Linked DNA regions of Macaca mulatta. The protein of the gene in region 3 purifies or fractionates together with the protein of the main gene of each other region. This does not show direct contact. Links are inferred from orthologs where the notes say so. Each region holds a gene or a part of one and is shown on either strand. Other genes may lie near its edges.

Evidence for each region.
Region 1: the proteins of MAD2L1BP (region 3) and MAD1L1 purify together in Homo sapiens (co-immunoprecipitation; 4 studies listed by BioGRID and IntAct, with this or other methods). This does not show direct contact. The link is inferred for Macaca mulatta from reciprocal best matches to the Homo sapiens genes MAD2L1BP and MAD1L1.
Region 2: the proteins of MAD2L1BP (region 3) and LBR purify together in Homo sapiens (co-immunoprecipitation; 3 studies listed by BioGRID and IntAct, counting the BioPlex papers as one, with this or other methods). This does not show direct contact. The link is inferred for Macaca mulatta from reciprocal best matches to the Homo sapiens genes MAD2L1BP and LBR.

What each region holds. Positions count from the first base shown.
Region 1 is NC_133408.1:36,187,482-36,197,234, forward strand, and holds part of MAD1L1 (mitotic spindle assembly checkpoint protein MAD1), read right to left. Parts: intron 6,544-9,753; coding exon 6,403-6,543; intron 3,758-6,402; coding exon 3,578-3,757; intron 528-3,577; coding exon 403-527; intron 1-402. UniProt on the Homo sapiens protein: Component of the spindle-assembly checkpoint that prevents the onset of anaphase until all chromosomes are properly aligned at the metaphase plate.
Region 2 is NC_133406.1:83,139,174-83,148,926, forward strand, and holds part of LBR (delta(14)-sterol reductase LBR), read right to left. Parts: intron 7,824-9,753; coding exon 7,632-7,823; intron 6,635-7,631; coding exon 6,531-6,634; intron 5,646-6,530; coding exon 5,520-5,645; intron 1,730-5,519; coding exon 1,561-1,729; intron 1-1,560. UniProt on the Homo sapiens protein: Catalyzes the reduction of the C14-unsaturated bond of lanosterol, as part of the metabolic pathway leading to cholesterol biosynthesis.
Region 3 is NC_133409.1:138,479,274-138,489,558, forward strand, and holds MAD2L1BP (MAD2L1-binding protein), read right to left. Parts: upstream 6,777-10,285; 5' UTR 6,758-6,776; coding exon 6,712-6,757; intron 6,244-6,711; coding exon 5,978-6,243; intron 2,614-5,977; coding exon 2,101-2,613; 3' UTR 1,733-2,100; downstream 1-1,732. UniProt on the Homo sapiens protein: May function to silence the spindle checkpoint and allow mitosis to proceed through anaphase by binding MAD2L1 after it has become dissociated from the MAD2L1-CDC20 complex.

The DNA.
Region 1 (9,753 bases), on a different chromosome or scaffold from region 3:
GCGTGGGTGACAGAGCGAGACTCAATCTCAAAAAAAAAAAATCAGCCAGGTGTACTGCACATGCCTGCAGTCCCAGTTACTCTGGGTGCCACTGCACTCCAGGCTGGACGACAGAGTGAGACCTTGTCACAAAAAATAAAGTAAAATCTAGCTCTGCAGGAGCCCTCTCTAAGAAGGAGGAGGAGGAAGTTGCTGCCCCCATTTTGCTCCAGGAACATCAGGACACTTTCTGGGCTCATGGTCCTGGCTCCAGAGGCCTCAGCGTCTGCCCCTCTTGACTGTCTGTGAATTAGGACAGCACCCGGGAGTGCATCCACAACCCACCCAGCCACCAAGAGAGAGGTGGCGTGCACGCCCCCACACGTGGCCCGACCCCCGACCCCACACCCTGGCCCCGCCCACTTGTGCTGCAAGTCCAGCTGCTCCTGCAGCTCCTGCTTCTCCGACTCCAGGCGCTTCACCCGCATCTCCTGGTCCATCACGCTCCACTGCAGTTCCGAGATCCTCCCCTTGAGTGCGCTGATGGTCTAAAAGCAGAGGGGGCCAGAGAGCCACTCAGTGAGTAGAGCCCATGCATGGAAGGAGCACATGGAGGTGAGAAGAGCGGACAGGCACCACCCACATGCTACAACCAAGCAGGAGGCAGAGGGGCAGAGGAATAGGGGGCAGAGGGGCATCAGGCAGAGGGACAGAGGGTAGGGGGACAGACGGCAAGCGGGCGAGGGGGACAAGGGGAGCAGAGGAGCAGAGGGCCAGGGGGCAGAGTCACCTCCTTCTGGAGGATGCGGGTCCAGGCAGGCACTCACACGCAAGGCCCACCCTCCTCCTGGCGCTCCAGAGCAGCACAGCCCAGAGCCTGCAACGAGCCATGCAGGAGCTGACTGAGGAGACCCAGGCCCCAGCCAGGGCCCCTGGAAAGGAGGCTTGGTAAGGCGGCTTCAGAAGCAAAAGTCCTCACCAGCCAAGATGGGCCTGGACTCTCAGGCCTGGCACCTGGCAGTCTCTGTGCCAGTGCTGCATGCTCCCAAAGTCCCACCAGGCATCCACATACCCACCACACCATCATTTTGGTCTTCCCTCCAATAGTGGCTCCTGTCGTCCCTCCCCAGCCACCCCAATGCTACTATGCCGGCTGTTTGCTAATGACATCGCCCTCGAACAACAGCAAGGCACTGGCCAACCAACAGGACAAAGACGGAGGCTGTGCAGGGGGCTAGGCGGTAGCTGTTGGGGAGGCCATGCGCTTGGAAGGGGAGCGCATAGCACAGGCAGGAGCACCCCTGGGGAGGCAAAGCCAACAGCCTCTCTGGCAGCCTCCAGGACACCAGGTCTGCCTGACAGCACGGAACCCGCGCGTGACAGAACCGCCACGCTTCATCCTGACCACCCTCACCAGGCAACCTTCTGAGGACCCTAACCCTCTGGAAAAGCTCAGAAAACCCTAGGTGTCCTCAGAGAAAGAGCACGTGGGTCGAGCCAATGTGAGAAGCCGGACAGACCCTGAGAAGCATCACTGTAAGTTAACACAGGGAAATACATGGGCGTGATGTCAGCTCTGGGGACCATGCCCCCAGGGCAGGACAATGGCAAACTCACACAGCAAACAACCTGGGTGGGCCTGGCTGGGTGGCACCCTCCGCAAACAAGGAGGCCACAGCACTCATTTCCCTGTTCCTGAGAACCCGTGGCCAGCTCAGCCCGCTGAACCCTATCACTGCCGTCCACCCCACGACGCTCTGGGAAGGCGCGCATGGGGGCGGTGTGCTCCCAGAATGCCCACAACGGGTACAGTTTACTTCACCCAATGGTGAAGCATTAACCTGGGAGTCAAAAAAGAAGGTATTAAAAACATACTAACAATAAACACATCCTCCCAGAGGTCTTCTGAACTCAACTAATACACACCGGATGCCGGGACCAGGCTGGATGCAGGGCCGAGCCCACCTGCCCGCAGGGGCACCTGTGTTGTAGGGGACGCCGGACAGTTGGCAAGGAAGAGGCACATAAGACAATTCCAGAGTAAGGAGGTTGACAATCAGGGCCCTGTGACAGGAGAAGGCAGCCAAGGCCTAGTGAGCAGGAGGGTTTGCCCTGAGGAGCTGCCACCCTAGCTTAGACGTGACAGGCCAAAGCAGCAGCGCCTGCAGCAGCGCGATTTCCCCTCACGGAGCCCCACCCCACTGGGCACCACCCTGCGGCTCCTGCAGTCTCCCACTCCTCTGCCCCTCGTGGAGTGCTGGGCACGACTCACCCTCCCCCATGGAACCGCAGGTGCCCACAGGCAGCGGGGACAGGGTCTGACCCACCTCCAGCACAGCCCAGCACACAGGAACTGGAACCCAGAGCACGGGCAAGGCAAGAGCAGCTTCTCGGAGGCCAATCACACCTCCTTTCCTGCCAACGTGCCCTCCAGAAGCAGATGGGGGAACAACCTCAACACGCTTCCCCAGCACCACCCACAGAAAGGACGCAGGGCCAGTTTCTGGACCCCTCCAGGACGCTTGCTGCACGCCCACCCCACCCCCACCCCTATGCCAGCAGATTTGCATGTCTCCTCTTGGCACCAGCAATCTTGATCTTCACAGAAAAAGGACAGGAGAGGTCAGAAGATTCCAATTTCCACCAGCGCCCACATCCAGGCTGTTTCTAAAATGCAAGCAACCTTCACCAGGACTGTGGTTCACACAGGCTCCGGTTCAGAGGCAATTCTCCCGACACCATCAGATGCCTGTAGACCTTGCGGATAGTCAAAGAAATGCAAATCCATTCGTGCCTACTTAAGCCTCCTGACGAAAGAACAACTATTTCCAGAAAAGACCACCATCCACGACAGGGAAGGCTGCAGGGAAACTGGAGCCCTCAGCCGGGGCTCTGAGAACAACCGCTACAGAGACCGCCATCGCTGGGGACCTTATAGCCCAGGCCTAGGGGTCTGTCCAAAGTCAACAGAAGCGAAGGCTGCATAGATACACAAGTGAACACAAACACACTAAAAGTCCATAAATGACAAAAAACGGATTCATCAGCCTTCAAAATTCATAATTACAAATGCAAAAAAACTGCTTAACTTTTTTTTTTTTTTTTTTTCAGACAGAGTCTCACTGTGTTGCCCAGGCTGGAGTGGAATGGCGTGACCTTAGCTCACTGCAACCTCCACCTCCCCGGTGCAAGCGATTCTCCTGCCTCAGCCTCCCGAGTGGCTGGGACTACAGGCGCCCGCCACCACACCCAGCTAATTTTTGTATTTTTAGTAGAGATGGAGTTTCACCATGTTGGCCAGGCTGGTCTCCAACTCCCGACCTCAGGTGATCCACCCACCTTGGCCTCCCAAGTGCTGGGATTACAAACATGAGCCACCACGCCCAGCCCAAGTGCTCAACTTTTTAATTGAGAACTATAGAATGGAAAATTAATACTTCTACTGATTACAACTATGCAAAAAACGCAGCTGTCCGTGTGGGAAGCACAATTAATAACACAGGCGCGGCGCTGCAGTGGTGAACAAGAGCATGCATTCCCTCTCCTCAGGAAAACAGTGCCAGGAGGGCAGTCCCCGCGGAGCGGAGGCCCCGCTCACCTCGCCGGCCTGGGCCAGGCTGTCCTCTTTCTCACGAAGCCTCTTGCTGGCAGCGTCCAGGTTCTGCTGACACTGCCTGTTGCGCTCCAGCTGCTCCTGCATCTTCTCCTCCGCCCCAGCCTCCCGCTCCTGAAGCTGCCGGATGCGCGTCAGGAGCTCCTGGTTGCGATCAACCTCGCGCTGTCAAGAGAGCAAGAGTCAGATGCCATGTGCCACCCACGGGAGGGTCAGCGGGGAGCCCTCACCCCCACGCCTCTCTCAGAACAGGCCGAGGCGCAAAAAAGAGGTGAGCAGGACGCATCAGCCAAGTCAGCGGCAGAACCAGGATGGAACCTGGGACCCAGCTCCAGTGCCGGCGCCCCCGCTGAGGCGCCATGACGGTGAGCACTGTGCAAAGTCAGGACTCCCAGGACGGGCACTTGGCACAGATCACACACACATTCATCACACCGTCTGCTCAGCAGTTGCCTCTGCAGGGAGAGGGAGCACGGGAAATCTACAATTCAGCATTGACCTTGGGGAGAAGCTGAGCTTTCACAGCACCAGCAAATCCTGTCTAACTTCACTCTGGCCGGCACTGAAATGAGCTGGCACTCCCCCAGCGAGCAGCCGATGGGGCAGAGACAGGTGGCGTGAGCAGGAGGCTGCGGACAGAAGCAGTTTACACTGGGCTCAAATCTGCCACACATGCACACCATCTCACACAAACCTCCAGAGCCACCCCCCCGACTGGCCTTGGGGAGGCTGCGTGGCTCTCACTGGTTGGGATGGGACATAACCAAGAAGCACGCTCAGACCTCCTGACTCTAATGACCCGCAGGCCCTGCAAGTTCACTGCCAGGTACAAGAGTCCCAGGAGGTGAAGGCGGTGAGTCCTGATGGAGCCCAGCACTCTGGGACCCTCTCGCCCTGCCTTCCTCGGGAAGCTCCAAGCACTCCCCCTGAGCCCAGGGAGGAGTATGAGCTTGTGCTGTCCTCATCTGGGGTACTCCAGCCCAAAGCCCAGGAGAGGTGTTACAGAGGTGGCTGCCTTCTGAGAGAGGCTGACCCGCACCTCGGAGGGACTCTAGCCCTTGTGAGCTGCAAGGGCTGCCTCACAACAACCAAGAGACTCTTCTGTGATGCAGAACAGGAGCTGGGGTTGGCATGGGGCTCCGCTCAGCACCATCACAGCCAGATGGGGCACCAGGCCCGGGACTGCCAGTCCTAGTGCAGACAGGGCAGCCAGCAGGTCGCCGGACTTCAGACACTTAGGTCTCAACCCCTAATAGGTATTTCCAGGTGGAACTCCAAGGAACAATTGGAAGACTACTGGTTCCAACTGTTCCTGGGATCCTGTGCAGCTGTGTCTGTGGGCAAGGAAGGAAAGTCCTGCTAGAAGGTGGCTGGAGCTCAGCAAGGAGCCCCAAGTGTAAGCTCACTCACCTGCATTCTTGGATTTCCCCAAGAAAGGGCCCCCGGAGACCCTACAATGACTCCTCCCTCAATACAACATTTGTGAGTACCCATAAAATGCCATAAGCTGCGCCACACAATGGAGATCCTAGGCGGAGTCAGGTGGGCCCTGCCCTCAGGGACTCTCGGCCCCAGAGGAACTCCAACAGCTGCACACTCCGTTCCTCCTGCCTGAGAGCCACAGCCATGCCATGAGCACGCTGCCTCCAAACTAATGACCTGGTGCCACCTCTCTACCCCTAACAAGGGAACCTCAATAGTTAGGGAGATTCCTGTGGCCTCTCCCTCCCCTTCCCACCAATTCCTCCAGGACTGTCCCTCCTAGGACCCACCCAGGCCGTGAGCAAAAGCCCCACCTCTCAGGGAAAACAGCTCTCAAAGCAGCAATGGAGCCAAGCCTGAGGCTGTGGCCCCCACCCCATGGCACCTCAGGCTCACTGAGCCCACACAACGCACCACAGCCAGGATCTGCAGGCCAGGGGCAAGGAATCCAACCAGCATCACACCCCGGAAGACGTGAGCTATTTTTCTAGGGCCTAGGAGAGTGTGTGAACAAACCGCACGATGCCAGGGAGGGGCTAGACATCTACCCGCCGAAAGAGGGCACACAGGCCAAGGAGACTTCCCGCCCAATACTCTGCCTGAACCTTGGCAGCATTTCCACAACTGATCAGCACTGACCGAAACGCTGGCAAAGCGCTATTCATCAGAGCAGAGGGAATTCGCACACTCAGTGGAAACCTAATTCCCTCCCCAAGGACAGGGTGTTTTCCCTGCTGCCCTGGGTGAGCCAGGAGCAACACACAGCCACCAGTGAGGCCGGCACCCTTCGCTAGGGCCCTCCAACCCAAAGGCCCAGCATGGACCGGGACCCTGTTCCACCCCGTGACCTCCTAAGCCTGTCCCTCCTACACCACTCGGCATTTCTGTCAGACCTGCATTCCAATTCTTCCAGAGGGAAGAGGAAACCAGGAGACCCAACAAAGGAATCTGTGCCGGCACTGCAGCCTCACTGAACAGACACAGCAAGTGTTCCCATTTCATGCCATCCTCCTCTAGGACAGCAAGCATAACCAATACCTGCCCCACAGCATGCGTGGCCTCAGAAGGAATGTCCTGGCAACCGTGACACAGGGCATGTCAGGCTTCCAGTCAGCTGGGTTCTGATTTCCTACGGCCTGGCAGGTACCATGCACAGCCCCCTTGCTCCCAGGGGCTGCGATCTGAATTCTTATAACCTGGCAGGTACCGTGCACAGCCCTCTTGCTCCCAGGTACTGGGATCTGATTTCTTACGACCTGGCAGGTACGGTGCACAGTCCCCTTGCTTCAGTGGCTGGCTGGGCTGACCCTCGCCCCACGTGAACCCACCTCGTAGTTCCTGGCACTGGTGCTCGCCGCTCTCTCCAGCTCCACTCGAGCCCTCTTGTGACTCAGTTCCATCTGCATCTTCTCCCGCTCCACCTGGATGAGGTGAGACTTCGAACGGATCTGCTCTGCTCTTTCCTCCAGCTGAGAGGGACATACCCAAAGAAAAACAGAATGCTCAGTGACTGCATCAAACAAGGTTGAGTGACTCAGTGCAGCGGACACATCTCTGAGCACCCATTCCCGCAGGTCCTGTGATAATTCTTGATGTGCCCCAGCTACCGGGCCCCAGGCAGGGGAACCGGGGAGTGGCAGGCAGTGGGAAGGTGAAAAAGCTTAGGAAGAGGAAGACGTCTTTTGAGATGACATTAAGCATATTAGTGAACGCAATGGCCTCGAATGCCACCCATTTATTTACCAGCCAATGGCTCTGTGGGTCAGAAGTCCAGACGTAGGTGGCTGCGTTCTCTGAACAGGGTCTCCCAGGCTAAAAATCAATGCAGTCGACCAGGTCGTGTTCTCAGGTAGAGCTCAGCATCCTCTCACAAGCTCACAGGGATGGAGAATGAGGTCTCCTTCCCGACCAGCTGCCAGCCCAGTACGGCCATCCACTCCTAGGAGCTGCCCACATCCCTTGCCACATGGACCTCTCCCTCTCCAAAATCAACCACGTCCAATCTCCCTTGTAAAATCCCGCTCCTGCCATGTCTCTGACTGCTCCGCCTCAGATGTCTGGACTGAGACTTAAAGGGCTCTGGTGAGCAGATCAAGCCCACCCAGGGAGTGGATCAAGTCCACCCAGGTAATCTCCTTATCTCAAGGTCAACAGATCTGAGACCTTAATTACATTTGCACAATCCCACAATGATACCTAGTCAGTATCGACTTAAACCTGGGAGGCAGTAGGAAGGTGAGTGTGCACTAGAGCCTGGAATCTGGGGGCCCTCTCAGAAGCCTGCCTACCACACAGGCCTAGTGATTACAGGTGAGCTGAGCCTCACAGAGCCCCAGAAGACTTGCCAAACAGTTCCAGAGTCGGCCTTTGGGTACGACCTGCTCAGCTGGAGGAAAAGGCAGTCACCAACTCTTCATATAGCCCAGAGCCTTGCAGTGCAGCATCTCTCAGCACTTAACAAATGCAGAGTCTCAGGCTACACCCCAGATCTATTCAATCAGAATCTTCTCTTTAGGTTGGGCGCAGTGGCTCACGCCTGTAATCCCAGTACTTCAGGAGGCCAAGTCGGGTGGATCACTTGAGGCCGGGAGTTCAAGATCAGTCTGGCTAACATGGGGAAACCCCGTCTCTACTAAAAATACAAAAATTAGCCAGCGTAGTGGTGCACACCTGTAATCCCAGCTACTCAGGAGGCTGAGGCAGGAGAAATGCTTGAACCCAGGAGGTGGAGGTTGCAGTGAGCCAAGATCACACCACTGCACTCCAGCCTGGGTGATAGGGCAGGAGTTCGTCTTGGAAAAAAAAAAATCTAGGCCAGGCACGGCGGCTCATGCCTGTAATCCCAGTAGTTCGGGGGCCAAAGTGGGTACATCACTTGAGGTGAGGCGTTCGAGACTAGCCTGGCCAACATGGTGAAACCCTGTCTCTAGTCAAAACTACAAAAATTAGCCGGGCATGGTGGTACGCACCTGTAATCTCAGCTACTCCGGAGGCTGAGGTGGGAGAATCACTTGAACCCAGGAGACGGAGGCTGCAGTGAGCCAACATTATACCACTGCACTCCAGCCTGGATGACAGAGTAAGACCCTGTCTCCAAAAGAAAAAAAGAAACTTCTTTTTAAACACATTCTCAGGGCGTTCACATGCACGTGAAAGTTTGATAAGCACCAGAGTAGAGTGGTGGTTCCCAGTGAGGGCCAGTTTTGCCCCTGGGAACATCTGGCACTGTCTGGAGACACCTGACTGTCACAGAAGGGTGGTCATATGTGTGTGCTGCTGGCTGGCATCCAGGGGGTAGAGGCCAGGGATGTTGTTCAACAGCCCACAATGCACAAGAAAGTCCTGAGAAAAAAAGAATTACCCAACCCAAATGCCAAGCATGCCAAGGCTAGGAAAGCCCGGGACGGGGGAGGGAAGTTTCTCTGTCCTCCCACCTGTGTTCTCTGGTGGCCCAAGCCCACGCTTCCTTTCTTACTATGTTACCGTGTCTCGATTCCCAGCTGCCGCTGTTTGGGCATTCCTAAGACTGCCCTTCAAACTCAGCAGCCTTCCTGGTCTCACTTCTGTGTCTGCAGTCAAACCTGAGCCTCTCGAGAAGGGTGGGCACCCCACCTGCAGGGGGCACGACCGGCAGGGACCAGGAGTCCCAGACACACCTGATCCGTGTGCCACCTCTGCCTGGAGCTAACTACAACTGAAAGACAGCAACTGAAAGCTTGCCCTTACATTAAATCAACACAGATGTGTGATAAACCAGACAGCACACATTCCCCGGCCTGCCATGGACTCCAGGCCCTCTCTGCCATGCCGGGGGCTCAGCAGGAGAGAAACAACCACAACAAAGTCCAGAAACGGGATGTGACAGGGGCCAGGGACCAAGGCTGGGCTCACCGACATCACTCTGCTCGCCACCTCGCTCTGACTACCGCACCCCATCACAGATCCCCTCACCGAAAGGCCCTTAACAGTGAGCACTGGGGGCCTCTCAGGTCCAAGACAGACTAGAATCCCAAAGCTTTGACAGATAGGCCAAGAGGTCCCAGACATTTGCAACAAGGAAATTACAGCATTTCAGACCAGAGTTGCCAACTCTGTCATCCAGGCTGGAGGGCAGTGGCGTGATCTCAGCTCACTGCAACCTCTGCCTCCTGGGTTCAAGCGATTCTCCTGCCTCAGCCTCCCGAGTAGGTGAGATGACAGGTGTACGCACCCGCCTAATTTTTGTATTTTTAGTAGAGATGGGGTTTCACCAAGTTGGTCAGGCTGGTCTCAAATTCCTGACCTCAAGTGAACCACCCACCTCAGGCTCCCAAAGTGCTGGGATTCTAGGCGTGAGCCGCCGCAACCAGTTCAGAGTTGGCAACTTCTAATTTTGCCAGTGATAAAAACAACAACCATCTATTACCTTCATAATTTCATAAAAGAGCATTTACATATACATATCACATATATACATACACACACATATATATGTGACCTAATCTCAGAATACAAAACTGTCCTCATGAAGAAACGGCAGTAAGCAAGCTAGCAGCCAGCATTCTTTTTTTTTTTTCTTTTTTGAGACGGGGTCTCGCTCTGTCGCCCAGGCTGGAGTGCAGTGGCGCGATCTCGGCTCACTGTAAGCTCCGCCTCCCGGGTTCACACCATTCTCCTGCCTCAGCCTCCCGAGCAGCTGG
Region 2 (9,753 bases), on a different chromosome or scaffold from region 3:
TTCGGTATAATCAAAATTACAGGCTATATCATCTGTTAGTTATGATACCTACTGGCCATGGCACAAACATTTTATTAATCAACCACTAGCTTAGAATCAGCACCAGAACATCCTGAACTTTAAATACATGCTGAATCCATTGTAAGTCTACAAGTTCCTAATTTTATCCAAATTTCAGAATGTCAAAAATCAATGTATCAATGATATTTAACTATTATCTAGTCGATCCTCAATAAACTAGTAAGAGAATAACCTCACTTCCTGCTTTGGTTTGAATGTGTCCTCCAAAGTACACGTGTTGGAAACTTAATCCTCAATGCAACAGAGTTGACAGTAGCACCTTCAAGAGATGGTTAGGTCATGAGGGTTCTGCCCTTATGGACAGATTAATGTCGCTATCACAGGAGTGGGCTCAGTATCTCGAGTGGGTTTGTTATAAAAGTATGTTCAGCCTCTCTTGCTCTTCCTCACTCTCTCCTGCCCTCCCTCCCTCTCTCTTGTCCTTCCACCTTCCACCCCGGGATGCTGCAGCAGAAGGGGTCTTGCCAGATTCCAGCACCATGCTCTCTGACTTCTGGCCTCCAGAACCATGAGCCAAATAAATTTCATGACAAATTACCCAGTCTCAGCTATTCTGTTTGAGCAGCACAAAACAGACTAAGACATCCCCCATTTTTAGCTGAACTATAAAATATACTGTCTTGAATCATAAAATGGACATGGACAACCAAATCACTGGTGAAAATAAATCTTAATTTTAACCAATGGTTTGAATTTCTTCTTCTACCACAGATACTAACTAGTGTAGCAAAACTATCTATATTTGAAGTTCACTGCTAATTTTCCCTGCCCAACCTCTAGTACAAGTGTTTAAGGGTTTAATGAACAGGGTAAGGACAAAGAAAATTCATCCTGAAGTAAAATACATGACTGACCCTGGTGAACTGCAGCTGCAGCCAAACTGGACTTCTCCGTCTTTCCCAACCTCATCTCACACTTCCCCACCATACACCCTTGCTGAGCTGTTCCAGTGCCTGACTTTTGGATCTCTCCATCCCATTTTACCCTCTAAAACTCAAATCAAACACCATATCCTCCAATAAGTTCACACTAAAGCTCCCCAGAGAGAAGTCTCTACCTTAAACACCCGTCATCTAAGCCCCTCTCGGTGCTCACTCATGTCTTATTTCTCCTGCTAGAACGCGAGCTCTATGAAGGCAAAATCAATCTTCTCTATAAGATGCCTACCAGAAAAAGCAGGCACTCAAGAGAAAAAACGTAAGGTTACTAAAAACAAATTTAACCAACTTAAATTTATTAAATTTAAAAGCAAGGTGGTTCATTTAAAATAATCTGTTTCAAGTACTACTGAGAACCCAGGTACGAACCATCCATTCTCTTTGCAAAATGCAGACTTTTTATTACTCATCATAAATGGCTTCGAATTGAGCTAATGCTGACCATTCAAAATGGCATGTTTCAAATATGTAGACATCAGAGCATAAAAGCCTCAGTACATAATATTTAATAAATTAAACTGAGACTAAAATTAATACTCACGTTTCAGAACAATAATTAGAGATGCCATTGGCCAAGACACTTCATTTGGATGACTAACTAAGTAAAAGGCTTGGAAGCTGTAAATAAACGGAACCCACACCAAATCTCCAAAAGCCAGCATGAATCCAAATCCATCATGGATGATGTCCATGGTCGTCAACAACGCTTCCTATAAGGATACAGACAGGGGAAAGGGAGAAAGAGCTTCTATGTTTAAAGTATTCAAATAAAGTACTAGTTTACAGGCAAATGTATAAAGTGCTATGGGCAGGTCCACAACCAACATTTTTTTGTTAAAGGGGAGAGAGATTTGGTTCCCCTGGCCTGCTAGGTCTTTCTGCCATCACATTCTCCTGTCACGCTAGCCTCTCGCTCATGTTCCCGAGATAACAGATCTCTAAAGCATTTCCCATGCCCAGGCCCTCCCCTCTGCTGGCAACCCCTCCTCCAACCTGGGCACTTCTCAGATGTCACCACCCACCAGTAGGGCTCAGACCTGGGCACTTCTCAGATGTCACCACCCACCAGTAGGCTACAGCAATTGGGTTACTGTACTTGTCTAGTCACTCTCCACTATACTAAAAGCCTCTAAAAGACAGAGGTTGTGTGTTTCTACCTTTGCGACCCCAGTAACTAGCACAGTGTCCGCCATGGAGAGAAGTGTTCAAAATATGTTTGCTGAAGGAATATGATCACCAACTCTTTTTGTTTCAGTTCCACATGCACCAATCTAATTTCTGATCATAATCTGGCTTTTCATGTAGATTTTCCACAGAAGAAATTAAGCTGCCTGGCAACATGGTGAACTGACAGCTTCACTTCTCATGCAAATTAATAAAAGTGCATTACTCCCTGGTGATTTGCTTAGCGTGAGCCAGTTCGCCTCTGGACCAGGATAAGGGGCAGGCCAGACTCTAGAATACAGACATACCGCCAAGGTCAACACTCTGAAGGTCTGGCCTGAGGGAATCTCCAAACTACCTGGAACCTCACTACAGACCACTGATGTTGAAAAATTAGCCAGTATAGGCCGGGCGCGGTGGCTCACACCTGTAATCCCAGCACTTTGGGAGGCTGAGGCGGGTGGATCACAAGGTCAAGAGTTCGAGACCAAACTGGCCAACATAGTGAAACCCTGTCTCTACTAAAAATACAAAAAAAAAAAAAAAAAAAAAAATAGCCAAGCATGGTGGCGGGCGCATGTAGTCCCAGCTACTCAGGAGGCTGAGGCAGGAGAATCACTTGAACCCAGGAGGCGGAGGTTGTGGTGAGCTGAGATTGCATCACTGCACTTCAGCCTGGACGACAGAGTAAGACTCTGTCTCCAAAAAAAAAACAAAAAAAGAAAGAAAGAAAGAAAAGAAAAAGAAAAATTAGCCAGTATAAGCTCTGTTGGAGAATCAAAGTTCTAGGTTAAAGAAAAAGAGTGGTACCTCCAAATAGGATTTTTTCCAGAAAAGAAAGCAAATAGGCCATGGAACAGAAAAACAGATGTCATATGGAACAGAAACACCAATCCCACAAAATCTACCTCCTTAGGCTTATACTCTTTAGTTACCAGAGTTCTTTATTCTCTTTAAAAAAAATTGACATGTAATAATTGTACATATTTATGGGGTACACAGTGATGCTGCCATACATGTAATATATAGTAATCCAATCTGGATAATTAGCATATCCATCATCTCAAACACACTATTTCTTTGTGTTAGGAATATTCAATATCCTTCTAGCTATTTGCAACTATGTATCACTGTTAACTATAGTCATCCTACAGCAGTACAGAATACTAGAACTTAGAACTTACTCCTCTTATCAAGTGGTAATTTTATATCCTTTAGCAAACCTCTCCCTCCCTATCTTTCCCTTCTCCCTACCCTTCCCACCTTCCCACATCCTCTGTTCTACTTTGTACTTCTATGACATCAACTTTTTTAGCTCTCACATGTAAGTGAGGATACATGGTGTTTTAACTTTCTGTCCCCGAGAGTGTCTTCTTATTCTTCTCTCTCAAGGCCTGTGATCTGATTCCTGGTCCAAAAGAGGATAAAGGTGACAAAACGGAGGGAGCAGATAAAAGCAAGTGTGGTGAGTAGCAGTGAGAGGGCAAAGGGTAAGCACCCAGTGCCAGGTCAGGGGGAGGACCTTAGCCCCACCAGCTCCTGAGCCCCAAGGTTTTCACAGGCTGGACTCAGAGGAAGGGTCATACATATTTAAACTGGTAGTCTCCATTTTCTTAAGGTATAGCACATTCGTGAATACGAGGAATTTCTATCAAGTGACCTAACAAAAAAGTTATTAAGCATCTGCTAATTGCCCAGTGGTATGCCAGAATGCTACAGAAATCATAAAATACAATACTTCCTCAAGAAGATTATCATCATCTGGCTGAGATACTGAGAACAGACAGAAAACAATTTCCTAACTCTAGTTGTCTACCCCTGGGCTATGTTAATTTTGCCTTAAAATGCAAAAAAATTTTCTTTTAACAGAGGTCAGTGTTTGGCTAAATCTATAGAAAATATGAACTTCTAAGCCAATTGAAAAGTGAAGACCACAACATGGCAGAAAGCTATTAACAGATGAAACCAGACGAAATGATCACTTATCAATGGAAAACTACTAGAAAGGAAGTTTTAAAGAAGCCTGAGGTGAGCAAAACAGTGAAATATCATTTGATTTGCAAACTGTTACCTATACGCTCTTTTGGCGATTCATTCTATAACAGCAAACAAAGCTACACTGGTAATAGTAAGTGCATTTACAAAAGAGTTGTTTTTTAATTTCAAAAACATGTTTAATTTTGGATCGACTTGGAATTTTTAAAGTCAATTTGAAGTGCTATCACCACCTTCACAGCTTCCCAGGCTCTGAGCCAGGGTCTGTGAAGTGGTAGGAGGGCAACAGGAACCCGTAATTAGCGGATAGCACTAATCCCACCACTTGTAATTGAGGTTTACCTCAAAGTGGCCCTAATCTTCCTAAATAACAAGAAGATCATCAAACACCAATATCAAACTTGCGAAGTTGTTCTGACTCAATATTCTCTGCAATTTTGCATAGAAGGCCACAATTAAAGACCAGCCGGCAGGGGTGGGGGAGATATATAGTAATGATGGCCAAATAATACACTTTTTTTTTTAATGTTCCAGGCTCAAAGAGAAAAGGTCTTCTCTCAAAATGTCAGCAGACTGTCTCAACACACTGTCATTAAAACTTGTTTTGGAACTTTATGATGTACAGCTGCCAGATTTGTTTTTAATATGGAAAGAAAACTAGACGTGGAATTTGGAGATGATTACAAAGATAACAGTAAATATGATAAAATACTTGTAAAATAAGCCTGAGGAAGAAAAAATTTTTTAAAGGAATATGCTGGTTGAGACACAGAAAACAAACAAAACATTTACCAGTCTTCAACTAGCAGAAAGACTAATCAATGTACGAAAAAAGACACGAGATGAAAACTTAGCCTTATTTCAACAGGCTTCCTCAATGCATCTTGATTTCTGATTTTACGTTCATCTAATTAGAGCTAGTCTTTGTATTTTAAAATACTAACAATAAAACACCTCCCCCATTATTTAAAAACCAGGTGACTCTTGACAATCCAAGAAACACCATACTAATTTGGTAATAATCCATCCATTTTCATGTGATACCATAATTACCACCGCCCACAAAAACAAACCCAAGATCCACCAATCTTATATTGAGAATATTACTTTTAAACACAAGATCAGCTGATAAACACCAAAGCACTCCCAAATGCCTAGAAACTTCCCACCTGTCAGCGCTCCCTCCTCAGCTTCGCATGGATGGCCTCATCGTCCTCACAAGCAGCCTTGGAGGCAGGCCGTGCTCCCCTCACTTTGTGTGCAAGAAGCCGACGCTCTGACAGGTCACTCACCCACTCAAAGCCATCTGACTCCAAGGCCTCGGCTCTTAAAAGTAATTACCTCATTCCAGAGAGCGTCCACCACATAGAGAAGCTGGAAACTATTAACCAAAATCATGGCCAAGGATGGAATAGCACGGTCTTGTATTTTCATTTCAGCCAAAAGCATCACCAAGTTAATAACCACCTGAAATAAAAGGGGAAAGTATATAGCCTCAAAGCACCTCCCCAGGGATCTTAGCACTACAAAGGCATGAGTGAGCTTCACAGCTGAGACACCTGGCAGATGCCACCTTAACACCTACCCGCCACCGGGAATAAGACATCTCAGCACCATGGGCCCCTGGACCCAATGCACTGAGGACACAGTTATCATTTCTGTGTTCCTGTCACAGTGCATAACTTCACCCCAATCAAAGAGAACACTGGAATGACCCAAACTGAGGGACACTCTTACAAAATAACCAACCAGTACTTTCCAAAAAGTATCAAGGTCATGAGAGACAAGGAAAGCCTAAACAACTATTAGACTAGAGAAGACTCAGAAGAAATAACAACCAAATGCATCGTAGAGTCCTGTCGAGGTTCCTGGAACAGAAAAAGGACAACAGCGGAAAGACTGGTGAACTCGACTGAGGCCTGCAAACTCGGTAACTAATGCTGTCGCTATGTTAATCTGCAGTTCTTCATCATTACACACTGGTTTCCTCCGAGGTTAACGTTGTGAGAAATAGAGTGAAGGGTGGAAGGGAACTCTTTGCTATATATCTGCAACTCCAAGCCTAAAACTAGGTAAAAATAAGGTTTTAAAAAAGAGGAAAATGCATCCACACTATCACTTTCCTATATAAATATAAACTGATAATAAAGCAAAGAAAAGATACTTAATTTGTCATATCTTAAACCTCTGGAAAATATTTACAAGAAAATATTTTGATAGATTTATGGAAAGCCATAATTATCCCTAAAAATATACCACCCACTGCTTATTTTTAAATGGTCTACATTTCTTTCTAGCAATTAATTAGACCTATTGAATTGAAATTTAGAAAGAAAAAAAAAAAAGACATACCCATCCAATCAATCCGGGGCGCAATTCACAAAAGTATTTGAGATCAAAAGTACCAATTCGAGGGTTTAATTCACGGCCAATGAAGAAATCATAGACAGCATTTCCTGAGAAGGGAAAAGTGTTTACCCAAACAGTGTTCCAAACCCAGTCAGGAGGCTTTAAAACTGCACTGCTGCCCACTATCCAGGCTCACAATTCAACTGCCTGCAAGTGCCTGAGCAGAGCTCTGGTGATGAGAGGTAGACAGGACGGCACAGACTAGGGGAGACGCCTGCCCAACTGAAAGGGCAGTTACTACAGCCTTTGGGGAGCCGGGGACCCAGATACCCCAGGTTTCTTAAAAAACAACCAAAATCATGGGGGCCCCCCAAAGGACTTTACACTCACAATTTTTTTAGATAGGCGACATTTTTTTAAATACTTTAGCTCAGCATCAACCAATTTGTAACCTCTCGTTTCTTTTGTCTTTTGTTTTGAGATGAAGCCTCGCTCTGTGGCCCAGGCTAGAGTGCAGTGCCACAGTCTCAGCTCACTGCAACGTCCGCCTCCCATGCTCAAGTGATTCTCCTGCCTAAGCCTCCCGAGTAGCTGGCATTACAGGCATGTGCCACCACGCCCAGCTGATTTTTGTATTTTTAGTAGAGACGCGGTTTCACCATATTGGCCAGGCTGGTCTCAAACTCCTGATCTCAAGTGATCTGCCTGCCTTGGCCTCCCAAAGTGCTGGGATTACAGGTGTGAGCCACCTCGCCCAGCCAGCAACCTCTGTTGTTTTGTTTTTGCTTTTTAAAGAGTATTTACTATTTTGGACAAAGAAATAATATTTGTCATAAGTCAAAACGCCTGTAAGTTTACTAAACGTCTTACTGTCATCAAGCAACTGCAAAAAAAAGAAATGAATAAGAAAGTATGAAGGAAAAAGAAAAACATTTTCTTCTTTTAAATTCATATCTCTTTAACTTTTTTCTTCATCTTTTCATTTTTTCTTCTCTTCATTTCCCAAAAATGAAGTTAGAAAAAAAGCAATCTACTCAAATCTGGAAATGGCTGCTGGAGGGCTCTGGGACGCATTCATCCAACACGCGATTCATCACTGCTCACCAGAGCTGGCAGGCGACAGGTCATTCCGGGGTGCTTTCAAAGAGCGCATGTAGAGATACACACTCAAGACCACACAAAAAACAGTGGCCCCAAGTGCAAACTGAAGAAAATGACTGTACACATAATGAAACTCTACGCCCTGGAAGAGAGATGCTCCGATGACTGCAGATGTCAGGATAAAAGCATAGAATCCTTTAAAAAAAAAAAAAAAAAAAAAGGGAAGGGGAAAATTTATGTTAACCCAAGGCTCACAGGAGACGTACGCCATTATGAAACAATACAATGTTCATTTTTAAAGTCTTAATATCATTATTCAGACTAAATACACACAAATATGCAAATAAGCAATGTCCTGAGGTATAATCTTCAATATACATACCATTATCTCTTGTAGAACTTTCCAAATAGTTTAACATATTGATTCTTCTTCAGTTCAAATGGTCATTATTTGCTTTTAATTAAGGGAAAACTGACAAGAAGTGCAACCTGAAAATTCCCACAATCCAAACTCTCAGGCACAAAGTCAAATGGCTAATTATTAACAGAGCTGAGCCAAACACACATTTTAAAGTCTAATGCCATTACCTAAAGGGAGGGTATTATGCACTCACCAGGGGCCAGGCACTGAGCTAGGTTAGTAGTTACAAAATTATAAATATTTATACTTAACCAACTTGTCAATAATGGTTTCAAAAGATTCTAGTTAAACTCTACCATCCAGAACAGAGTTCTTAAGATGCCACCCGCAGAGAAGACGCCACAACACAAATGCTGGAGGCCAGGCAGGGGACTGTGAGTACCCATGGGGTAGGGACAGCAGGTGGGCACATTCACGGGCAATGCCAAGTTAAAAAGCACCCACCCTGTGAGGTTCCAAAGAACTCTCGTTCCAGGCTAGTCCTGCTGCCACACAGAAAGGCTCACTGGGAGATTCAATTTTTCCTTTTGGCTAAAAAAATAGTTTTGTGGCTGGGTGCGGTGGCTCACGCCTGTAATCCCAGCACTTTGGGAGGCCGAGGTGGGCGGATCACGAGGTCAGGAGATCGAGACCATCCTGGCTAACACGGTCAAACCCTGTCTTTACTAAAAATACAAAAAAAATTAGCCAGGCATGGTGGCAGGCGCCTGTAGTCCCAGCTACTCGGGAGGCTGAGCATGAGAATGGCATGAACCCAGGAGGAAGAGGTTGCAGTGAGCCAAGATCACGCCACTGCACTCCAGCCTGGGCAACAGAGCAAGACTCTGTCTCAAAAAAAAAAAAAAAAGAAAAAAAAAGAAAGAAATAGTTTTGCTTTCAAGGGAGCTGAGTGCCTGAAAGAGCTGTGCTCCTAAAAAGTCATCAAATCACATTAGGATAAATGGTCAAACGCAAAAAAGAAGTAGCTGTTATTTATTTGAGAATTCTAAAACCAAACCTTTTGTAAAATAAAATAGTTGTCTCAACTGATCTGAATCCACATTTTCCACAAATACTCCAAATAATAACTTCTAATTTTAAATTCTGACTTTTAAAGATATTCATTTACCTTTCATAAAATGTATATTTTAAAAAAGAATGGTTAGATGAAGCAGTCTTTTGCTCTCTAGTCCACGTGAATTAAAAATAATCATCCAAAATGTCTTAGGAATCTCCTTAGTTAATAATGGTAAAATTCATGAAAAGAAACCTCAATACTTGAACCCGAGTAATTAGATGAGGACATTTTTAAAAAGGATCAAGCAACTTGGCCAGCCACTCCCCCACTGGCTACAAGAGCTCCAAGCACTGTGCTCAGTCTCTGTATGTACCACACCCCTCAGAGGGAAGTGAAAATGTAACACAAGACTACTTAGAAAAGAATCGGTGCCTGCAGAGAAACACACAAAACACTGAAATCAAAGGACCTGGCAGCAAAGTCAACAACCCACCTCGCCCCAGACTCACCTTCCCTGGTGTGGCAAGTGAACCACCAGAGGGAGGGAGGGTGCCAAAGGTTCTAAAACTCGCTCCATCAGCAAAGAATTTGGTAAAAGCAACAAAAAGTCTAACAATACCAACGACAAGTATTAAGCATCCACCAGGGGTCAGATGCTGGAGCTAGGTCAGATGCCTTGTCACGTGACTGGCACTAAAAGGCAGAAG
Region 3 (10,285 bases):
ATAGGATGTGCAGTACTGTAGGGGAATCCAAGTTTCACCATTTAGGCAAACTGCTCAATCTCCCCTGGCCCTATCTATAAAATCGGGACAATAATTCATGCACTGCAGAGTTGTTAGGGTTAGATAATGTAAGTGCTTAAAATAGTACATATACTTTTTAAAAAATAGTGTATTTTAGGAGTACATATATGTATCTTATACTATGTACATACGTGTGAGTATATATATACCTTTTTTTGTGTGTGTGAGACGGTGTTTCACTCTGTAACCCAGGCTGGAGTGCAGTGGCATGATCTCAGCTCACTGTAACCTCCACCTCCTGGGTTCAAGCGATTCTCCTGCCTCAGCCTCCCAAGTAGTTGGGATTACAAGTGCCCACGACCACGCCTGGTTAATTTTTTTTCTTTTTTTGAGACAGGGTCTCACTCTGTTACCCAGGCTGGAGTGCAGTGGCGTGATCTCGGCTCGCTGCAACCTCTGCCTCCTGGGTTCAAGCAATTATTCTGCCTCAGCCTTCCTAAGTAGCTGGGATTACAGGCACTCGCCACCAAGCCCGGGTAATTTTTGTATATTTAGTAGAGACAGGGTTTCACCATATTGGTCAGGCTGGTCTTGAACTCCTGAACTTGTGATCCACCCACCTCAGCCTCCCAAAGTGCTGGGATTACAGGCATGAGCTACCGTGCCTGGCCTTTTTGTGTGTGTGTATTTTTAGTAGAGACAGGGTTTCACCATGTTGGCCAGGCTGGTCTCCAACTCATGACTTTAGGCAATCTGCCCACCTCAGCCTCCCAAAGTGCCGGGATTACAGGCATGAGTTACTCACCTAGCCTATATATACCATTTATATATTATACATACACATGCATATACCTATCCCCAACACCAGCAAAGTGTGGATTCTGTCTTCAACTTGCTTCCAAAAATTGAGGTGTTTGGCCGGGCACAGTGGCTCCTCCCCTCTCGCTACTCAGCATACCTGCTCAGTTTACTACAAACCAAGCACCAGGCCAGACTATTTCCCAAAATCACTGCTTTTATTCAGTGGCCTGGTAAGCTAAGTTCTTTACCACAATCTTCCCACATAAAGATGACCTCTGCTTTGGGGGATACAGAATTTAAGCATCACAAAAATCTGTATGTGATAAGAAAAGCACATTGGCTAAAAGATAGCTAATGAGGACTCTAGTCCTAACTGTGTTATCAAAGTACATATGCACTTGGCCAAGTCACTTAACTTCCTAGATTAGCCTGGGGCTGAAGAAGAGAAAAAATCATTATTAAAAAATCCTAAGGCTGGGCACAGTGGCCCACACCTGTAATCCCAGCACTTTGGGAGGCCAAGGCAGGTGGATCACTTGAGGTCAGGAGTTTGAGACCAGCCTGGCCAATATGGTGAAACCCCATCTCTGCTAAAAATACAAAAATTATCTGGGTGTGGTGGTGGGCACCTGCAATCTCAGCTACTCGAAGGCTAAGGCAGGAGAATTCCTTGAACCTGGGAGGCGGAAGTTGCAGTGAGCCAAGATTATGCCACTGCACTCCAGCCTGGGCGATAGAGCAAGACTCCATCTCAAAAAAGAAAAATATAATAAATTTTTGAGACGCCCTGAAGCAGAAGAGGCCAAGGAGAAAGACAAAATAGCCTAAAACCTGACAAGTTATTTTAAGTCAAAAGAATTTCAGGAAAATATAATAAGAATCTATTTATTTTATATTTAAATTCATAAGTCACATCCACATTATGTTCCTGGGAAAAATTCTGAAAGGACACAGCAAGGAGCAGAAAGGGCCACCTTCATGGAGTTTCTGTCTATGGACCCATCTTTGCTTTACAACCCCTAACAGAAATACCTGACCCAGCACCCTCTGGGAAAATCAACCTTTGATTCAAAGAGATGTTGTTCAGCAATGATTACAGTCACCGCCACATGCCATCAGCCCATCAGGAAACCTGAGGAGGGGAGGCAGACAACCAGAAGGAGAGTTGCTTCGTCTCTCACCAGGAAGAAACTCTAGCTCCAAACTAGATGGGTAATTCAGTGCCACATGAAGAAAGATAATTCAGCCATTGTGTTTTTATAATTAAGAAGCACTCATTCACTCGCGGAAGCCTTTAAGTGTCACTGGTGCCTGGAACCAAATGTAGTCTTCCCAAGCCGTGGTTCGGATGGAAGGTCTGCCACATGACAGGGTCACAGTCAGTTTATGGCCCCGGCTGGGCACTCGATAGTTGAGCTTGGGTTGAAACCAATCTTCTCCACAGTCGCGGTGTCCCTGTGCCATGATGATGGTGCCCATGAGAGGAGGAGCCTGAAGCTCACTAAAGGCATCAGCCATGAATATGGCTCGGAAGAGACGGCGCAAACAAGCTGCTGTGCTCAGGCTCTGGTCCACGCTGTAGGGGGCCAGCAGAGACAAATCGAGTTCATAGAACTCCTTGGGGCTTAGGGAATTGCCCCCAAGGAGAATCAGCACTCGTGGTACTAGTGTCCGTGCAAAGAAGTCCTCCAGGTGGCTGAGGACACTCTCCAGTTCTGCCACAGCTTGTTGGCATTTCCTGCTGCTCACCTCAGTGGTGGCCCGAGGTTTCTTCTTCAGCATCTCCTCTGCCTGTGAGGACAAAGAATGGCGGGAGAGAAGAACAAGGCAGGGGGAAGCTAATGCCCTTTGAAAAGAACCCTGCTGGGATGTGTACATAGACTTACAGGACTGAATTTCTAGCTCAATGAACCGCCACAGCCACAACACTGTGTTTTATCAGAGGGCATTATACTGAAAAGGAAAATATATTATTTGTACAAAACCATAATTCTCCCACATATAGAACAGCAAACACAGTGTTCTGAAGGTGGAGAATATCCAGATATAAACAACTAAAATAGAGATTTGGTAGTATGACAAAGTGACAACAAATTTTTGCTATACAGGGAGTGATAACAGGAATAAGGATTATTTGGTCTAATAAACATGACTCTGAACTTGTTCTTCCACTTAAACATAGTAAACTGAACAATGCTTATTTGCGCTTCCACCTGAAATACTACAAAATGAGAGAAAAGAAATTAAGAAACAAATGAACGAAAGAAGAGGAAAGACCGAGAAAGAAAACTCCCAAGGGCAAAGAACTGGAGACTACACAACACTAGTCAAATGCAAACACAAAGTTTTGGAAGACAGAAAGAGGATGAAGAGTTGGCCGAGCGCAGTGGCTCATGCCTACAATCCCAGCACTGAGAGGCCGAGGCAGGTGGATCATGAGGTCAGGAGATCAAGACCATCCTGGCTAACACAGTGAAACCCTGTCTCTACTAAAAATACACAAAATTAGCCTTGCCGGGCACGGTGGCTCATGCCTGTAATCCCAGCACTTTGGGAGGCCGAGACAGGCAGATCACAAAGTCAGGAGATCGAGACCATCCTGGCTAACACGGTGAAACCCCGTCTCTACTGAAAATACAAAAAATTAGCCGGGCGTGGTGGCGGGCGCCTCTAGTCCCAGCTACTCGGGAGGCTGAGGCAGGAGAATGGCGTGAACCCAGGAGGTGGAGCTTACAGTGAGCCGAGATGGCGCCACTGCACTCCAGCCTGGGCGACAGTGCGAGACTCCGTCTCAAAAAAAAAAAAAAAATTAGCTGAGCGTGGTGGCGGGTGCCTGTAGTCCCACCTACTTGGGAGGCTGAGGCAGGAGAATAGCATGAACCCGGGAGTCGGAGCTTGCAGTAAGCCGAGATTACGCCACTGTACTCCAGCCTGGGCGACAGAGCAAGACTCTGTCTCAAAAAAAAAGAAAAAAAAGAAAAGAAAGAAGGTGAAGAATTAAGAGTTCAAGAGAGCTGAATACCAAGTGCTGACAGAAGGGACTCCCAAGGGATGCAAACTGATACACACAGCAGAACCCCAGAAAGGTTTAGGAAGTGGTGATACAGGCACCACAGAGGCAAGAATGAATATAGGGGAAATGAATGAAAATCTGTGTCAAGATGCTTAGATCATCTGCCAAATTTCTCCCCCATCCAGAGGGAAGACTTTCCAATACTATGTTTAAGGAATCCCCCCAAAGAGATCACCAGGTTGCCACCTAATCTCCTTATAGTGAAGTCTATAAGCTCATAAGGCCCAGGCATGCACACAGAGCTTGCAGTGATTTGTTCTTAAATATTCACCAGACACAATAAAATTCTCCAACATGAAAGTCAAAGACCAGAACAAAACAAATGGAGAATGGATTCTAGAAGAAACTGAGATGCCGCAAAGAACAAAGAAAAACTTCAAAAATTAAATAATATCCTCAGGCAAAAGAAGTTCATGGCCTGGTGCGGTGGCTCACACCTGTAATCCCAACACCACTTCGGGAGACTGAGGCAGGTGGATCACCTGAGGTCAAGAGTTTGGGACCAGCCTGGCCAACATGGTGAAACTCCGTTTCTACTAAAAAAACAAAAATTAGCTGGGTAAGCCAGGCGTGGTGGCTCACACCTGTAATCCCAGCACTTTGGGAGGCCAAGATGGGCAGATCACTTGAGGTCAGAGTTTGAGAGCAGCTTAGCCAAAATGGCGATACCCCGTCTCCACTAAAAATACAAAATTTAACTGGGTGTGGTGGTACACACCTGTAATCCCAGCTACTTGGGAGGCTGAGGCAGGAGAATCGCTTGGAACCCAGAAGGTGGAGGTTGCAGTGAGCCAAAATCGCTCCACTGCACTCCAGCCTGGGCAACAGAGCGAGACTCTGTCTCAGAAAACAAACAGGCTGGGCATGGTGGCTCATGCCTGTAATCCCAGCACTTTGGGAGGCTGAGGCAGGCAGATCACCTGAGGTCAGGAGTTCGAGACCAGCCTGGCCAACATGGTGAAACCCTGTCTATACTAAAAATACAAAAATTATTTGGACATGGCGGCGCATGCCTATAATCCCAGCTACTTAGGAGGCTGAGACAGGAGAAGCGCCTGAACCTGGGAGACAGAGGTTGCAGTGAGCCGAGATGGCGCCACTGCACTCCAGCCTGGGTGACAAGAATGAAACTCCCTATCAAAAACAAACAAACAAACAAAATTAGCCAGGTGTGGTGGTGCATGCCTGTAATCCCAGCTACTTGGGAGGCTGAGGCAGGAGAATCACTTGAACCTGGGAGACTGAGGTTGCAGTGATCTGCGATAGTGCCACTCTCCTCCAGCCTGGGTGACAAAGTGAGACTCCATCTCAAAAAAAAAAAAAACAACAAAGCAAAAAAAAGTTCATACAGAAATTCAACAACAGGATGCTATTAAAAAGAAACATGCAGGCCGGGCGCAGTATTTCACGCCTGTAATCCCAGCATTTTGGGAGAGGCCAAGGCGGGCAGATCACTTGAGGTCAGGAGTTCGAGACTAGCCTGGCCAACATGGTGAAACTCCATCTGTACCAAAAATACAAAAATAAACCGGGCATGGTGGCACGTGCTCTTAGCTACTGGGGAGGCTGAAGCACAAGAATCGCTTGAACCTGGGAGGCAGAGGTTGCAGTGAGCAGAGATCACGCCATTGCATTCCAGCCTGGGCAACAGAGCAAGACTCTGTCTCAAAACATAAAATACAAAAATTAGCTGGGTGTGGTGGCGGGAGCCTGTAATCCTAGCAACTCAGGAGGCTGAGGCAGGAGAATCCCTTGAACCCAGGAGGGGGAGATTGCAGTGAGCCAAGATCTCACCACTGCACTCCAGCCTGGGCAACAGAGCGAGACTCTGTCTCAAAAGAAAAAAATGCGAAGAGCCAGTTCATTAAGACCAAATGCAACACGAGTTTCAGAAAGAAAGAACAGGAGAAAAAGCCAGAAGGGTTAGGCTACCAAAGACTAGAATGGGGAGAAAGTGACTGAAGCCCTGGAAGCTGCTTAGTCTCTCAGGCTCTGAAGATTTCTTAGACCCCCTTTCTACCTGCCTCCCATCTAAGAGCCACAAAGTCTTCCCACCAACTTGCTCCCAAAGCCTGTGCCTACCTGGGGAGAAGGTTTTCGGTAAAAGTTCTTAAGCTGTTCATAGGGCAGAGGGAGTTGCTGGCGTTGGTACATGATATGCTTTAGAAGTTCACAAGTAAACTGACAGCAGCCTTCCTGGCTTACAGGCCCAGGAAACACCACTGGTACTATGCAGTCTCTTGGGCAAAAGGGCTCCGAAGGGTTGAGAGGTTCCTGGGTAGAGCTTGTCTCAAGCAGTTCTATCTGGGAGGCGTGAGTTTCTTCTGACTTCTCATACCACTCCAAATCTGGTAGATGAAAAGAGGGACAAGAGAGAAAAATTTAAAACCTAAAAGCCAAAGTCAGTCTTCTCATTCCCTGTGGCCACCAAACCAGCCACCCTGAGAAAGCAGGCACTCCGACATACGCCCATACCCTCCGCAGCCTACAGTGTGGGCCGTGGCAGGGAGAGATTCCTGATCCCTGTTGCCTGAGGAGATTTAATTGACTGAAAGATAGTGGGGGTATTTCGGAGGTAGTAACTAGGGCTCCCCGCTCAGAAAGCAGCGGGACTTGATCTGGGGAAATGAGTCAAAAGTGTAGTCAAGCAGGGTCCAGTGCGACCCACGGCGATGGAGTCACAGCTAGAGCCTTGTAGGACACCCGGAAGACAGGGAAGATGGGCTAGGGAGAGGACCAAGGGATAAATGGAGGGCGCGGAGGTAGGGAAGAAACGGGTCCCTAAGGCTTCCCAAACTCTGGGCCCCACGCCTTACCAGGGACTGAGGCTGGGGACAGAACCTCCGCCTCCGGCGCCGCCATCACGACCTCCTCCCCTTACTCCTTGCGGTTAGAATAAAGGTCCCGCGGGGCATCATGGGAAGCCCGCGCCTCCACTTCCGGTTCAGTTGGGCCGGAAAAAAGGCGCGGCGCCACGGCAGTGTTGGGGAGGCTAAGTGGAGTTGGGATTTGATCCCTCCGTTCCTTCCTTAACACCCTGGCAAATATACGCCTAACCCTTGCCCAGCAAGAACCCAGGCGTTCTCAGCCAATGAGCGCTGCTTTCCAAAAGACACCAACCCTCACGCATCCATTCACTCCAGCATTCACTACTCACTGTGCACCTACTTCGTGCCAGGCCCTGTCCTAGGTGCTGGAGACTCAGCGGAGAACAAGCCAGGCGCGGACCCTGTACTCAAGGGGTTCACTGCCTGTAGATACCATACAATGTGATGAATTATACAGAAGGGTTTACACGGGGTGTGGAAGTGAAAAACAAGGGTGCCTGACCCAGAGAGGGTAGGGGCTGGGAAGGAGTGGTCCCAGAAGAAATGTGTGAAGCTGTGACCTGTAGGATAAGTCAGCAAGGTAAAGAGGAGGGCCCAGTGCTCCAGGAGACCTTGAGACAAGAGCATACTCTGTTCAAGGAATGAAAAGAGTTCATATTATAAAGAGTTAAGGCTGTAGTGAACAACAGGAGCCAGATCATGGCAGGACTGTGTAAGCCATGTGAGAGTTTGGACTTGATCCTGTAGTCAGATGGGGAAGCTTTGAAAGGTTTAAGTAGGAGAGTGGCATGATTAAATTTACATCTTATAATCTCTACCCTGGCTGCAGGGTAGAGATTGGATTACAGAGAGGATAAGAGAGGAGGCAGGGATACCAGTTAGAGGTAGTGCAATTACCTGAGTACTTGATGAAAGCAGCCTAAACTGCTAGGGTAGTCACAGTGGGGTGGAGATAATTGGGTAACTCGATATATTTAGGAGGTCCAGTGAACATAACTTGGTGATTGATTTACAAGGAGGAGGAGGAATAGAAATAGACTGACAAGAGGCCGGGCGTGGCTGCTCACACCTGTAATACCAGCACTTTGGGAGGCCAAGGCAGGTGGATCACAAGGTCAGGAGTTTGAGACCAGCCTGGCCAACATGGTGAAATCCTGTCTCTACTAAAAATACAAAAATTAGCTGGGCATGGTGGCATGCACCTGTAATCCCAGCTACTCAGGAGGCTGAAGCAGGAGAATCGCTTGAACCGGGAGGCAGAGGTTGCAGTGAGCTGAGATCACGCCACTGCACTCCAGCCTGGGTGACAAAGCAAGACTCCATGTCAAAAGAAAGAAAAGAAAAGAAGACTGACAAGAAAACAAGCAGGTTTCTGACTTCAGCAATTGTATGGCCAGTTGTGCCAGGAGTTTGATACCAGCCAGGACAATATTGGGGACCCTGTTTCTGCAAAATTAAAAAAAAAAAGTTTTTAAAAGTTAGCCAGGTGTGGTGGGTGCACATCTGTAGTCCTGGCTATTCAGGAGGCTGAGGCAGAGGATTGCTTGAGTCCAGGAGTTCGACAGTTACAGTGAGCTATGATTAAGCCACTGCACTTCAGCCTGGGCAGCAGAGTGAGACCATGACTCAAAAAAAAAAAAAAAGAATGGAGGAAACACTAAAAGAGGACCAGGTTTATTGGGGTGGGAGGTGAGTAGGAGAAAAGATGAGTTCAGCTTTTCACAGATTGAATTTGACATCTCCATAGGACAATGAATAGAAATATTTAGGAATGCCATTTGGAATAGCGACATGTATTTAAGAGCCATTATCATGTGAGTGGATAACATCACCCAGGGAGGGTGTGGAATGAGAATGGGCTAGGTTATTGAAGACACTAACATTTAGGGGATGACCACAGAGACAGAACCTATGGAGAAGACTAAGGAGTACCCACAGAAGGATAAAGAAAAATAGACAAATCGCCGGGCAAGGTGGCTCATGCCCGTACTCCCAGCACTTTGGGAGGCTGAGGTGGAAGGATTGCTTGAGCCTGGGAGGTTGAGGCTACAGTGAACTGTGATCGAACCACTGCCCTCCAGCCTGTGTGACAGAGTGAGACCCCGCCTCCAAAACCAAAATAGACAAGTGGGGCCAGGCATGGTGGCTCATGCCTGTAAGCACTTTGGGAAATCAAGGCAAGGGGAATGCTTGAATCCAGAAGTTTGAGACCGGTCTGGGCAACATGAGACCTTGTCCCTACAGAAAAAGACAAGTGTCAGGTCATGGAGGCCAAGAAAAGGGTGTGTTTCAGGAAGTAGGGACCAGAAGTCAAAACATACTGTAAAAGTACAATGATTAGAGGCCGGGCGCAGTGGCTCATGTCTGTAATCCCAGCACTTTGGGAGGCTGAGGCAGGCGGATCACCTGAGGTTGGGAGTTTAAGACCAGCCTTACCAACATGGAGAAACCCTGTCTCTACTAAAAATACAAAATTAGCCAGGCGTGGTGGTGCATCCCCATAATCTCAGCTACTTGGGAGGCTGAGGCAGGAGAATGCCTTGAACCTGGGAGGTGGAAGTTGCAGTGAGCTGAGGTCACACCATTGTGCTTCAGCCTGGGTGACAGAGTGAGGCTCCGCCTCAAAAAAAAAAAAAAAACACAATAATTAAAATACTGGGTCTGGCTGGGCATGGTAGCTCCACGACTATAATCTCAGCATTCTGGGAGGCCGAGATGGGAGAATTGCTTGACAGTGGAGGGACTGATTGAGTCCAAAAGTTTTTTTGTTGTTGTGTTTGTTTTTAGATGGAGTTTCGCTCTTGTTGCCCAGGCTGGAGTGCAATGGCATGATCTTAGCTCACTGCAACCTCTGCCCCCGGGGTTCAAGCAATTCTCCTGACTCAGCCTCCCAAGCAGCTGGGATTACAGGTGCCCACCACCACACCCGGCTAATATTTTGTATTTTTAGTAGAGATGGGGTCTTTATAAAAAAAAAAAAAAAAGACAAGTGTCAGGTCATGGAGGCCAAGAAAAGGGTATGTTTCAGGAAGTAGGGACCAGAGGTCAAAACATACTATAAAAGTACAGTGATTAAAATACTGGGTCTGGCTGGGCATGGTGGCTCACGCCTGTAATCCCAGCATTTTGGGAGGCCAATATGGGAGAACTGCTTGAGTCCAGGAGTTCAAGACCGGCCTGAGCAACATGGCAAACCCCTTCTTCACAAAAAATACAAAACTTAGCCAGGCATTGTGGCACGCCCCTGCATTCCCAGCTACCTGGGGGGCTGAAGTGGAAGAACTGCTCTCAGGCGATGGAGGTTGCAGTGAGTCAAGATTGTGCCATTGCACTCCAGCCTGGGTGACAGAAGGAGATCCTACTTCAAAAAGAAAAAAAGAAATCAATCAATCAATCATTCTCTCTTCCTCCTCCTCGCCACCTTTAAAAAATAAATAGGGCTGGGCGCACGGTGGCTTACACCTGTAATCCCAGCACTTTGGGAGGCTGAGGCAGGTGGATCAACTGAGGTCAGGAGTTCGAGTCCAGCCTGACCAACACGGAGAAACCCCCGTCTCTACTA